Linked DNA regions of Lepisosteus oculatus. The protein of the gene in region 1 purifies or fractionates together with the protein of each later gene. This does not show direct contact. Links are inferred from orthologs where the notes say so. Each region holds a gene or a part of one and is shown on either strand. Other genes may lie near its edges.

Region 1 (7,729 bases):
CCACACGCCATAAACACTGAGGCACTGTATCTGCCCTGAGTCCAGTGAAGCTCCTCATCAGGACTGTTCCAAGATTATCTTTCTGATCAGGTTCGTTGTTTGAGCACGAGTGATTCCAATGCGATTCTATCTAAGAATGTTTACTTAGTCTGCTTATGATAATTATTGCAAAATCTAGTTTCTGGTCGACAACATGGTGGAAGGCCTGTGGAAGAGCATTAAAAAATCCAGACAGATGCCATTTGGAAACTTTCAGTCTCTCTCTTATGCATGCGAAATGTGATGTGTCAGGGGATGCAGTGATTTCTAACCTTCTAAAACCTTAACAATCATGATAGTGCTTTCTTCATCTTGAGTCCACTAATTAGCTTGCTGCCCGTTTAATTTGCTGCTCATGGACTGACTCCCTAGGGCCTCCCAGAATCACAACACTGCAGGTCATCAATCTTTGTCCAAGCTAAGGTTTTAACATCGGAGTGCATTCAATTCTTCCTAAAAAGAGGAACTAATTACATTCCTCAGTGAAAGCGTGCTGACTTTCTACGAACTTTCACATGCTAGTACTACTGTAATACAAAATCATTAAGAAGCAGCAAAACAGACTCCACACTATTATAGAGGTACCATTATGACTGCTTAAAAAGAAAGCATACATTTTGTTCAAAGCATACTGACACCTTAAGATGCACCAGCCCAGTTTGCTTTCAAGGGGGTCCTGCTAGTCTGTTCAAAATTCGACATAAAAAAGTCAGGTCTGACCTAAAAAAAAATGTTGCAGTTATACGGAAACAAATACAAATATTTGTATCACTTTATCAAGAACAGGATTCACTGTATACTGAATGACTCCAAAATCTGTTTCCGTGCGATGTGACCTCCACTGTGGAGGTCGGAATCGCCCCAGCCTGAATGGCAAGAGGGGAGGCCCTCGGCTCACGCCCTCCTGCTCTTCGTCCCCCCCCCCCCCGTCTGCATCATCATCATCATCATCACTCCTCCAAGTTTTTCCCTGTGCTTGGAGTCTGAATTTCAGAAACAAAAAAGACCTCAAGAGGGCGTTTCCCATTCAATCATTGCTCATCCCGAAAGGTGCCGAGTGATGGGATGAGATGAGCCCGTCCCGCTCGGAGCGAGACCGGACAATTTCTCCCCGCTGGACTCGCTTCCTCCCGGAGCTCGCCGCTCGCCTTTTCATTTGGTTTTTGTTATCCATACGCCGCTGGTCATGCAGAACCCCTCCAGTTCTGTTCAAGGGTTCGCACTTCCCAGATGTTTCCGGGTTCGACTCCAGCTCAGGGGACCAGTCTTGTGGAACAGGCATTCTCCCTCCCCTATGATTAATTTAGTGTGCAAGCTGTGTGCTTTTGTCCCCTTCCATCTCCCACAGAGATGAGGTTTGATTGACCCGTTTGAACTGCCCCGTTTTGGGAAAGGGGTGTCAAGGAGAATTAATCTTTTTTGGGGGGGCTGTTCGCATTACAGTGGCTGTGATAAACTGATAAACTGGACCAAATGGCCGTAATGGGTCGAATGTAACAGAAAACCCACTGGAATCACAGGAATTTCCGTCAAGTCTGAAGCTCCATGCCCCAGGGGTCACGGGAGCCTGTTTTCCGAAGTTGTTTGCTGACACCCACGATTAAGCTGCTTGAACAGGTATCGCTTGTACATCAGGCCGATCACGTTAAGTGTAAGCAAAGCCTCCGACAACGTCCTTTTCATTGAATCCTGACGTGCACAACTTCCCTAATCAGCTGGGAGCAAGTCGGTGGTAGCTAGGGAGGCGCCCTCGCAGGGCTACAAGGAGGCATTCATGCTGACGTTCGCCCGTAGCTCAGGTTAAAAAAACAAACGTGGAAGAATGAATGTTTTCATCAGGTGTTGTTTCGTAGCCATCATTTGTGCACTCACCTTTGAATGACGTATTTTGCGTGGAAGACAAACTTTCTAAAAAGAAATCACCACCTTGCCGGTTTATGTATGTAAACCAACACCAACCAGTCCCCTTTTCAGCAAAATACCGCAGACTCAACTGACCTGTCAACTGTATATTGAATTCTTAGCAGTTATTATCCACGTCGGGATTTTAAAAGCGCGAATTTAGGACTTTTATAACGATGCATTTTGAGGGGTCTTTTTTTTTAAGCTGTCTGAGTACTGTGAACTTATTTTGGGACACTTCCCTGTCTAGATTTAAGCAATCTCTTTAATTAATGTGCAATCTCCTCCCCGCCACTGCGCTCCCCAGCCGGGTTTCAACACCGAGAACAAAACAGAAGTAATATTACACAAACAAATTACAAAACAAGGACAGTTAATGACCGCTTTGATAGCTACGGCTACACAGAACAGACACCGAATGATTGACATCATGTTTCTGCCCTGCACATTTTTTTTTTTCAGCTCAAGAAGCCAACCTAGGCTGGCTACCACTAAGTAAACACCATTTCCCCCACAAAATGCTTGAGTTCTCTTCGAAAGATTTCACTGACATGGGGACGACGACACCTTTTGAACTCTTCCCGTCTTGTCACGTAGGACACAATGTATACGTACACGTGAAATTAATTCTATTACTCGCCCAGTTGTAGGACTTTAAATTATCAATGAACCAAGCCCACCGGTTTACAATGCGATATTCTCTTTACCTGCTGCTTGTCAAAATGCTCTTTCTCCGCCCCCAAACTGTTCTCATTTCTTCTGCTTTTCACCCTGGAAGGCACCTGTCGTATCGAATTCATCCTCCGCTCCGGCAGCTCGGGAGACGAATATGCCTCTGCCTCTGGTGTCGATTATGCACTTGATAAAAAATCACCCTTTTGTTTTTTAAAAAACAAAAACAAAAACAAAACAAAAAGCAAGCCGGGGGATACGACGAGCTGGAGCGACCAGTCCAAACGACGCGCGTGTGTTTTTTGTTTTTTTTTTTCCGGTTGCCCTTTAAAACACAAAGGAAAACAAAACAAATAAAAACACAAAAAGCCCCCCCCAAAAAAAAAAACAACAGCTCCCGGCTGGCCGCGCTAGTGCAGGGGCTGGCTCCGCCGTGCAGAGTTAAATGAACGCAGCATCATGGGAGAAGGAAGAAAAAGGCACTGCTGTGTGTTTGCGATACGTGGATCCCAGCCCAGGTTGCACAGAACACGGACATAGCAACGCGCTTTCCTGAATGGGCGGAATGAGAGAAGGGGGGGAGGAGGGATAAGAGATCAGTCTAGAAGAAAAACTGTATACAGTTTTCCCCACCAATCAATCAACGCACAAAGCTGCTGGGAGTCGGATTCACGTTCCGGCCATGCCCGGTAATGTCTTTTTTTTTTTTGGTGGCGGGCTCTGCCAATGGGAAACTCCCCTGCGAATTGGCCCCGATCGTATCAAGTGCGATCAGATTTTCATTAAACGTTTGGATTTGCCTGCTGCAGAAATCAGCAGCGGCATCTGCCATTATAAATACACGCTACACAACGTCAGTGCATTTTATTGGGCTTCCACAGAAGTATTCAGACGTCTAGAAATTTCATATGTTAACATGGATTTCCTATTGCATTATGTAGGCTATATAAATACACTGAATGTATAAAACGGATTGCAGCGTGCTGCTTATTTGAATATGAAGTCGAAGAGTTTAATTAGCTGATATTTATTTTAAAATGTATTTTGTATCTTTAAAAACGGTACACGACATATGTGAGAAAGTTTTATTTGAGCAATTCCGATACAAATAACAATGACCATTTAAAAAAAAACATACAATCTTCAGAAAAATACTGTTAAAAATAATGCACTTTACAAAACCTAAAAAAAAACAATTTCAGAGTACACTTGTGCTCAAATCTGAATTGCACAGTATTGATACATATTAGGTTTATAGTTCTGTTTTCCGTCCTCATGTCTGTAGTGCTTTTTGATATGTACAAGAACCAACGGTAATAATATAGGGCAGTTTCAACCACTTCCCTATAGATGTTCACAATACTGTCAACAGGCACGAAGAAAAACTCAGTACTGACGCCTCTAGAGACTCTGTCTTCACGACATAAAGTCACTGTACTTCTGCAACATGTCCAAATTGTTCTGCATCTCCTTACGTCAACTGCTAGAAAAAAAAACTCACACCCTTGTACACTGGCGGAACTCTGAAACGAGGGGCAATCTGTTTTCTTACGATTCAGAGTGCAAGATACCACTGTAATAACATTCCCACTTGCCCCGCTGCTGCGTAAATATTGCTTTTTAGAGGATTCAAAATACATAACACTCAATTAGACAACAAAGGTTTAATTTAAACCGAGAAGCTTGGTAAATGAGGCTGGCAGAATTTCAGAAAACACCTTACCACTGTTATAGTGCACGCATTTAGTATTTGAAATGTGAGGGAAATAAATTAGCTGTCTGAATGTACATCACGGTAATCTCACGATGTCCTCACCAGCAGTGAATGAAGTAAAACAAGTCACTGTATCCCCTGATGCTGTAGTACTGTACCTTATTAGAACGTTCTGTCCTCAACATTTTAGCTCATTTATAATTTAGAGTAACACTCAGGTGAATACTAGAACAAAATATCTTCTTTGAATTTGAAAACTATCACATTTTTAGCTAATGTTCCCAAATTTGCAGATTTTTCCGTGCTAAAAAAAGGTGTGAGGCAAGACTTTGACATTATCATGTAATGAGTGGAACAGTAAAATGACTGTACAGTCAGACAAAATTTAATGGAAATAGGTTTACTGGCAGGAGACAGCAGAGTTTTAATAGTTGAAGAACTGCTGTCAATTAATATTTTAAAGCTATTGTGGACCTTTCACAAGCCCAGAAAACAAATGATATTCACTAGACCTTGAATGCCAATGAAGTTTCCTCAACATCACTCATTTAGTGTGAAGACAATCTGGGATCAAGTTAAATCTAGGAGTGAAAGCTTGTTTCACCCCTGTGGAAAATACGTCTCACAGAGCCCAATGTTTTAAATACTGCTGGTTTTAAAAATCTAGATTTCTCCAGGTTAATCAGGGGAAAACTACTTAATACTTTTTTGAAAGCCCAGGTATCTCTAATAAAATAGATGCCCACTCAGATTCAGTATGAATCATTTAGCTCTTCATTTCTGACCTGTTAAAATAGTTTCTATTAAAGAGTGCCATGTCTTAGATTACTGTATTTAATTGCTCGTTTCATTCCAGTTACTGTACTGTATTTGTAAGGTGAAACTACATGTTAGTGATTGTATGAAAAAGGTTCTGACATCTGTATTAAAACCCGCAAACGTCATATTTTAGGCTCTAGTGTCTGTGGTGCACCCTTAACAGTACATTTGTATTTCTAATAGAGAAGAGTTGGACTTCTAACAACAGTTTTGTCCACAAATGATTCAAACATAAAAATGCATATACTTAAATATTTCTTTTATAATTGATGTGTCTTTCAGATAATAAAATTATATTTTAAAAAACCCAAGCCAAGACTAATGCCATCTAAAGATCTGGTAGGTCAATAAATCTTAGATCTCATGTGCTATTTTTTCCTATAGGCATTAACAATATATTTTACATGGAAAGTGCAACCACATTCCTGTTGACTACAGATCTCTTTTGTATTTAATACAGAAACTGAAACTCAATTTCTGCTTTTTGGTTACTCCTTTATAATACTTAAGTCATTATTTTTATGTTGCTATCTAAAACTATCGAGGTCTAGGCAAGTGAAAACAGATTTTTGCATTACATTTTGTTTCCAGCATTAATTTAAAAAAATAAATTACTGTTTATTTTTAAAAAACTTTCGCATTCTTTAAAGAATGAATTTATTATCACATGCATAAAATACAGCGGGACTCTTTTTTAACTTTGTGTCTGTTTGCATTGTTAGCATCTGAGGAAACGCCTACCCTAGCTATTAGACTCTAACAGTGGTCTAGGAGCATAAGACATTCCTTTTTTATGGTACATATTTCTGCATCCCTGTGCAATCCAGGCATCCCAGCGTCATTCAGAACTTTCACCTCCACCCACAGTTCCACGGAGATAGCTGGCTTTGAACACATGGGTAGCCTTTGCAGTCCAATTCACGGCCTCCCAGATACCTGATGCGTCTTAGAGATTAACAGGCAGCTGCTGTGTGTCCAGGTTTAAGAGGCTGCCTGCTACACTTCTCTTAGAACAAGAATTTTGGTGCTGTGGAATCAGAAAAAATAACAGTAAGACAAACTGCATCTTTGTTTTCTACGCTTATATTGAGACACAGAATACTCTCACATCACCACTCTCCTAAATCCAAACTTTTCTGCAGTGTTACTCTTTTATGCAACAGGACTGAAAAGTGCATCAGTCTGTGGTTTAATCTTTGTGTTACCCTAGTGAATTATTTCAGCTGGCCACTGCCAATTAATAGGGCGGAGTGGTGGCTCTGTGGCTATGCGCCTGTGACTGGAAGGTTGCCGGTTCAAATCCCACGGCCGGCAGAGGAATCCTACTCTGTTGGGCCCCTGAGCAAGGCCCTTAACCCTAACTGCTCCAGGGGCGCCGTACAATGGCAGACCCTGCGCTCTGTCCCCAAGCTTCTCTCTCCCTGTCTGTGTGTCTCTGTCTCCATGGAGAAAAGCTGGGGTATGCGAAAAGACGAATTCCTAATGCAAGAAATTGTATAGGGCTAATAACGAAAAATTATACATTATTATAAAACATTATACATTATTATAAACATTAATATAGAGTTGTATTTGCACTTGACTTGATTTGATAGCCTTTGTTTTCCCAGCCTGTATTAAGAAACAATATTTACCTTGGAGTGCGTGGAACCTTCAAGCAGCTGGGTGTCTCTGAGGAACTGTTCTCTGCTGTCCAATGCCTCAACACTCTATTCAGAATTTCAGAAACAAAACACCAGTCAACGTACCACATTACCTTTAAGATCAAGTTTTAAGCCTTGAAGTCGGTATTCAAAAATATAAATAATTGTAAACAGAAAAATATAAACTTCAGTTTATTATAAAGTAAAAACAGTCCTCACACAGCAGTCCATCCATCTGCCTTTAAATCCTGCAAAAAATCTGATCTTTTAAAAATATTAACTCTGGATGGTACTTCAACTAAACATTTCTATTTCAGTAGGCTTGAGTGGTGAATGACTGTATTAGACTGTGAATGACAGGAGATTATAAATAGAACAGCGCATTATTACAGGATTGTGTGTGCCAACCTAATATCATATTATTTCACTCAAGTTACCCTTTGTGTGTGAAAGTGAAGCAGAAATACCTAGAGATTCTGCAAATTAGGCAATAAAGCCGCCTGTGCTCTATGTAGCAAAATGTCACAGAACAAAATGCAAGATAGCATGACACAATTCACCCCTAAAAGCAGATTAACAAGGCAGCTCTACAGTAAGAAGATTATGGAGATTAGGAAACCCGATTGATTGGGGAAGCCAACACGAGATCATTCAGACTGACAGGGTTAGTGGGCTAGCAGGCCACAGATCTCTATGAAACAAAAACAATAAAGCACCCCCACATATAAAGTCCAACAAACTCACAATATATTTAAATACGTTCTTGTAAGTTCAATAAAAGCACAATATTTAATAATGTGTTTCCTTTAACAGTCAGGGTAATAATTGTTCTTATTCTTTCGAAATACAGATCTGAAATATATTAAGGCATATTGTGAGTAAATAAAATGCATTCTTTTCTCATAATATTATATGGAAATACAGTAAGCATCAAAGAAAA
Region 2 (7,101 bases), on another chromosome or scaffold:
AGTATAGTGGCCATAGATAACTGGAATCTTTAAAATAAGATGTGTGATTCACATATATTACGAAAACATTTTCAAAATTCCTTACTCAAGTTTGAACTTCTTTAAATTCCACTGTGACAGACAGATCATTGGACACAAATGGTAACTAAAGAAAACATTTATATGCATTTTAAACAGAGAACAGTAGCACTGCTAGAGACAGTGGATTTTAAGAGTATGGAAGAAACTATCAAGTTTTGCTGAAGGTGATACCATTTCTTCTTTCAAAACAAAATGTCTCCAAGATCCTCTGATCAAATAAACTAGATGGGCTGAATGTTCCCCTTTTCTTTGCAAACTGTATGTTGTCAAAATTGGAACTGTCTTTTTTTAAGAAAGAGTGATGAAAGATTTTGTTTTTCCTATTAACAAAATACATGTAAATGTACAGCAGCAGAAGCAACTATGCAAATATACGCTGAAGGATAAGCAAATGTTTTACAGCTCGTCTGAAGGAAATCTCATTTAATTGAAGTGTCATCTTTGAACAAAATGCTCATTAAAGACTGACTAAAATTGCATGAAAGCAGCAGCCCTTCCACACCTGAAGAATTCTCAACAGTAGCAGCTGGCAAACAAATGTCTAGCTCATCTGCGGTGTTACTTTTCAGCTGAGGAAAACTGTTACAAATCCACAACTTTCCTTCGGTGTTCCACAGATTTGGGATTTTCAGATGGGGTTCCAGGTGGAGTGTCACTTCTTACTGCTTTACAACATATCCCGCAAAAGAAACGGTCAGTCACTCTTCAGCCTTCTCTACCTGAGCAGATTTTACTGACTTTACCTTAAATAGTGTCGGCTTAAAAAAGGCAGATCGTAGCCTTCTAAGATGCCAGGCCACCAGCGCCAGCCCTGGGAGTTGTCCGTTACCTCTGCTGTACAAGGGAAGTTAGATACACCCCAGTTTAGAGCAGTTTCTAAAGGCTCTTTACAACTGTGGCTATTTTCCAGCACTCTTTCAACATTTCCACGGAAAAAAAACAACAACAACTCAGGTTTATCTCCAGTTATTCAAAGTTAACTGAATGTCATATATGAAACATCTCTTCAGACAAATCTTCTATATTATCACATGTATGCTGTGCCTTTTATCCTGTAGAGTGGAATAAACTTTCTCAGTTTCTCATTGCACGTCACCTGGGTTAAATGAGTTTACTTTAAACTGCCGTTCGACTCGAAGGATTTACGATTCAAAAGTTTAGGTTTTCCAAGCAGGGTCTCTTTAACATTACAGATACAACTTGTAAAACAACCCGTTATTGCCACAACAGATAAGGCATCGTGGATTCGGTTGCCTTTTTCTTTACTAGCAGGAGTCATACCTAACAAGCTACAACTACAAAACATCTGACGCCTGCTTGTTTCGTTATTCGGTGTGCAAGAGCGTTACGTGGTATCCAGGTGTGACGGACAGTAGCCTCTGGTGTTAAAATAAAATTAAAAGGAAGCGTGACGCCCCCTTCCATCTATTTCAGACATGGTGACACGTCGAAATCACGATCACAGGTCCGCCGATCTCTGCCCCCCCCAAATCACACACCTCATAAGACATGCTTCAACTGCCCCGAACCGCTATGAACTGTGCAGAAATTGGCGATATACAGCCCGAAGAGGGAAGGAAAAAGTATTTTAAATGGCGTGTTGAAAGTTACCAGCAAGCGGGGAAACTCCTATCAAACACCTTCACGGCCATCAGAGGAGGCAGGAATAATTAGGCTAACTAGGGCACTTAATACAGTACGTCCTAACTCAACCCAACAAAGACAAGCCGGGCAGGAGCCTGGAAAAATCAAACGGTAAACCGATTATGTATATCCACACCACAATAAAATAAAACCTCCCATCAGAAAGAAATGACAAGATTACTCAGAATTACGAATAAAATTAATTGGGATACTTATGGGGGGTGAATCAGGAACTGGTCTATAATAATAAGAAGAAGAAATTAAAAGATCAGTGATCGATGCCTCGTACTTCCACAGAGAGAGAGAGAGGCTGTGTGGCTGGGCTGCGGTGAATTATTTTCCCAAATAAATAATTAAGGATTTCAATGGAGGGCATGGAGGTCTAACTCAGATTATTCATTAAAAAACAAACAAACACAGGTGACGGCGTTACGCCTAACACAACACGGGTGACAAATGTAACGTACCTGCGAGACGTTAATATTAGGGGGCCGATCCTGCTAGTAGTGCTGGCTGATAAGATATTAGTAGGAGATGTACTTAGGCCTCAGCACTTAGCTCAGGTCTCGTCACCGTCCTTATCGCAACTTTAGCCCCGATACGCAGAGGGCAACGGCTGAAATATGTTATTTTGTGTGCGGCAGAGCCCTAACCACGAAGATACTTACAATCTAAATGTTTCTTTTTCGGTCCCATGATTTCGTGCGTGGTCGCCTTGCACACAGTTTTCGAGACTGCAGACCCGGTAACACTGTGTTGAGCTGCAGTTATCCTATCCGTTATGCTCTGCCCAGACATCTTCGCTTCTCTGTACAAGGAATGAAAAACAGGATAGATCTTCCCGATATTTTAAAGAGAATCGGTATGTTCGGATATCCTCCGGGGGCTTCCACGGTTCCACCACCTGACACAGAAAGGAAAAGAAAAAAAAAAGAGACAAAAACCGTCCGTACTCGGGAGAAAAACCAGTAGGAAAAACAATATTGTTATATCCACTGTTTGGTCCAAGAAGCCCCAGTATAAATGCCAAAGATCATTGGACGTCGGGCTGCAGGCAGATAAAAAAAACAGTGCTTCTTTTTTTCTTAAGGGTCCTCGTTTCTCTTACTCCCTCAACCTATTACCACACACACACACTCTCTCTCGCACTCACTCTCTCTTCCCCCCCACCTCTCTCTCTCTCTCTCACCCTCTGTGTCTCTCTCCTCTTTTTCGCCTCCCCCTGCTGGGTTTAAATGGACCGGAGGCTTGCAGGAAAATGGCGGGTCCGTTTCCTTCTCTTGCTGGAGCCTCCCAAGGTATTGTGTAGTTCGGAAACTGACTCCATTGTGGCTCCTGCGTGTTTTCGACAACGCCTGGGCAAGAATCGAGTTTGTAGAGCCAACATGGCGACAAGCGAACAGTAGTTTCCCTGCTCCCGTCTTCGGTCTGTACACCAGCAGGGATGGTTTCAATTCACGTGACATGTCACACGTTCCATAGTGCTCTATTTCGGCAGAAAGTATTGTTAGCAGTGTAATCAAAGGGTGGCTGTCTGTCTTTGCTTCCGTCGTTCAAATAAGCAGACTGATCTCACTTACTTACCCATGCATGCTCCCTTTTAGTAACTTTAGTCTTGAAGGTAATTTGTGCATTGGAGAAAAATACCACTGATGAAGTTTCATTCCATAAACCAACTCTTAAGGTAGGCTTTATAACATAACATCACTTTATTAGCCCTATACAATTTCTTGCATTAGGAATTCATCTTTTCACATACCCCAGCTTGCTCTCCATGAGAGACAGACACACAGACAGGGAGAGAAGCCTGGGGTAACAGCACAGGGTCAGCTATTGTACAGCACCCCTGGAGCAGTTGGGGTTAAGGGCCTTGCTCAGGGGCCCAACGGAGTAGGATTCCTCTGCTAGCTGCAGGATTTGAACCAGCAACCTTCCAGCCACAGGCACATATCCTTAGCCACAGAACCACTGCTCTGCCCCTTATAGCAGAAGAGATCATTTTACCATTTGACTCGCGTACCTCAATGTTAAATTCCACCCTAGAACAGAAAAGTCTTTTGGCATTCTTTTCATCTCGGGAATGTATCAGTCAAGTGGATCAGATCAAATGGCACACCGACACGTTTAGTAAACAGCGGAACCATTTTACACCAGGGTGTTGTCATTTGTCAATAAATGCTTCTTCCAAGTTTCATTAGCAGTGCGAGTTACCTCACAGTGCATCCAGTCTGATTGCATTCACGTATGCCTGCGATGTACAGGATGCCAGACAATGGAAAGTAACCTAATTAATTAGCTACAGGACTCTGAACTCCACTCTCTGTTGTGAGCCTAACCAATACCATATTAAATTGTGTTTGTAAATAAAACAATGTTTGAAGAATTGATGCGGAACTGAGCAGGTTTTCCATTGGCTCTGCCCTGGGAACTTCTTAAACAATCAGAGGGGCATATGCACAAGCAAACTAAAGAGGCTTCAGTTGAGCTCAGCTGGCATTCATGCTGGGAGTAAAAGGGATCTTTCACTGTAAAAACACGAAGTCTGCTTAAAAAAAAAAGAAGATAATGAGCTCTCCAAAGCTCGCACGTAATGTTTGTGCATAGTAATAAAGATCATCTTTGCATATGTGATGCGTATAGTTCTTCCCCTGCTGGGATTCAGTCACTCAAGAATTACATTACCGTTCTTCTGACAGAGGAGAGTTGCACTCCAGGGTGACATAACACTCTGTAACATGCTTATCTTTGTTTGTGTGCTACTTTATCCTCCTCTGATGTTGTGCACCCACCTATTGGGTATAAGGTAGCCATTCTCTGCCTGTTCACTACCCTTTAGATCAGGCAGGTAGAGTTTGTTCTCCATCAACAGAATTTGAGGAGAAATTTGATTTAGGCAGGACTCCAGGGTTAAGTCCCCTGCTCTTACAGTGTCATGGGGTCTTCAATGACCACAAGGATTAACACCTCATTCAAATGATTGCACCAGTGTTCTCTAACACCATTCTGGCACATTCATTTGGGGATTCTTGTAAGGAGGTCCGAGGGGACACCTAACACTATACTAACAGCATCAACCTGACTCCCAAAGCAGTGCTGAACAGGTCCAACATAGGGGTTACAAAATGTGCCTGAACGCTGCAGTCCACTCAGCTGAATATAATCAGGTTTATGCTAAATGAGCCAGCCTTCCATCTAGAGAGTGCTTGAATCCACGTAACACTACAGAAAATGGGAAATGCTCCAGCCAGATGAGCCATGAAGCTTAAATATGGAACTCCAAACTATAATGTGAAAACTGTTGGACTTTCCCATCCACTAAAAATTGTATGTTGACTGCCTATTCTTTGTGGTTTTAATTATAATGCATTTAATCTTTAACACAGTGACTATATTCATGTGAAGACAGTCCCATACTATGCAAACATGTACCCAATTTAGATAATTTTACAAAAGGGTTCAGGATCATCACAGGCATCAACATTTTTATTTACAGTGCTTACATTACTAATGTAATGCATGGCCATCTTGTGGCAAGATCTAGGAATCACATCTAAAGGCTGTTGTGAAATGTTTGATCACACCACATGAGCAATTTAAACAGAACTATAGACTTGTTTTAAGTTCTGTAGAGGTCCAATAAAAATATTTTCTTTCAATTTAAAAGATTCATCATTAATTGCATGAATTATTCATTTTCTGGAAGAAATCACAAGTTCAATACTATTCAAAAAATAATTTAAAAGCAAAAGTAATGTAATGTACATTTTCTTCTATCATATGGCCATATACATTTTCTTCATTTATCTTTAGAAATGCTTCAAAACGTTTAGAGCACTCCTTCCTAATAATGAAATTCAGTGGTTTAATTTAGTAAGTAAAAGTAATATTTGCTATAAAACAATGTCCTTCAAATGCTTTTTGTTTACTTTGTGTACAAATTTAAATTATTAAATCAGGGATTAATGACACATCATAATTCTTTAGATTGAAGAAATCTCTTAAAAGGATAAAGAATGTAATTTCGTATTTGCATATAATTTCGTTTTTGTCTTAACTTAATTGTTTCAATGTACAACTGTTTGTGCTGCAAAACATGATTGAAGAATAGGAATGTCTTTTATGGGTGTCCTGTGTGAAAAAAAGTAACTACAAATACAGCAAATCTACAGAATAGTAAATTCCACAGCTGTGCCTGTGCCTGTAAGATTTTATATTTATAACCTACCAATACACTTCAAACCAATATGACTGTAAATGCTAAAGCATGTCAATAAATTTGATTTCTAATGAAAGGTAGAAGATTCCCAGTCCTTAACTACTTCACTATGATGACCAAAATCCTTTGAGGTTCAAAAAAATATTTTGAAAATCACAAAACTAGAGTATTATTTTTATTATGTATATTTATTTGTATCTTATTTTTTTAATGTTTGTCAGATACCATAAGACTCTAACTTAGCTTACATGTTTCTCTGGTTGGCTTCAAGATCATATAGTCTCTGTGGACTCGATTTATTGATTCATTTCCCTATAGGTCATCTAGTAAAGAGTGGTATAAAGTTGGTGACTTACCTAGTTTGGATAAAAAATTATAACAACAAAAATATAAAATATCTACATATTATTTTAATAAAAAATAAATGATGCATCCAAGCAGATGAGGTATTGATCAAACAACAAAATATGTCAACACTTATTCTAAACTAATTTGGAATAAGCTGGTTATTCTATATGACAGGTACAGTAGTTGCAAATAGCTGAGTAGCTAAACTAAATAATAGGACCAAGGCATTTTCTATTAATCAAACAGTATTTTAAGAGTTTAAGTTGACTTCATTGTCATTAGAGATATTCAAGAGAATCAAGAAGTTCAAGCACTTTGCAGTAGAGCTTGCTTAGATCATTTATACATGTCCTGGTCTTCATATTGTAATTACTGTCATGATTACATTAGCATTGTGAAATGGGAGGCTCAGTCTTCACTGTGTCTCTACTTCAAATGAAACCATTTTGAAGTATGTGGATGACCGCAATAAAACAGGTGACAGTAATATTTGGTTGCAACTACTAACGGTAATACACTCATTATATTGTTTTATTATATTGCCACTAACATTCAATAATATTATTTCTTTAAATCAAGACGTAACCTACTGTATTCCATGTGGCTCAGCATTGTGTCCCTGCTCACTAGAGGGCATTGTAGCACTGCCTGAGCAACTGCTTCAGTACACCTTCAGCAAGTGAAATAAAATGCACCACAGGATAAGGAATAACAGACTCAACCAAAGCCTGAAATTAAGATACAAAGCCAAGACCAGCAACATTATATGTTATTTGCCACACAAGCCATGTCTACGTTTTTTTTTCTAAAAT

Evidence for each region.
Region 2: the proteins of huntingtin-interacting protein 1-related protein (region 1) and picalma fractionate together in Homo sapiens (co-fractionation; 3 studies listed by BioGRID and IntAct, with this or other methods). This does not show direct contact. The link is inferred for Lepisosteus oculatus from reciprocal best matches to the Homo sapiens genes HIP1R and PICALM.

Annotation. Positions count from the first base shown.
Region 1 is NC_090717.1:7,337,660-7,345,388, reverse strand, and holds the start of huntingtin-interacting protein 1-related protein, read right to left. Parts: upstream 3,261-7,729; 5' UTR 2,742-3,260; coding exon 2,649-2,741; intron 1-2,648. Other genes in the region: ccdc62 (coiled-coil domain-containing protein 62), read right to left, coding at 6,093-6,173, 6,781-6,855. UniProt on the Homo sapiens protein: Component of clathrin-coated pits and vesicles, that may link the endocytic machinery to the actin cytoskeleton. Binds 3-phosphoinositides (via ENTH domain).
Region 2 is NC_090700.1:7,411,657-7,418,757, reverse strand, and holds the start of picalma (phosphatidylinositol binding clathrin assembly protein a), read right to left. Parts: upstream 3,005-7,101; 5' UTR 2,524-3,004; coding exon 2,394-2,523; intron 2,287-2,393; exon of another isoform or gene 2,193-2,286; intron 1-2,192. UniProt on the Homo sapiens protein: Cytoplasmic adapter protein that plays a critical role in clathrin-mediated endocytosis which is important in processes such as internalization of cell receptors, synaptic transmission or removal of apoptotic cells.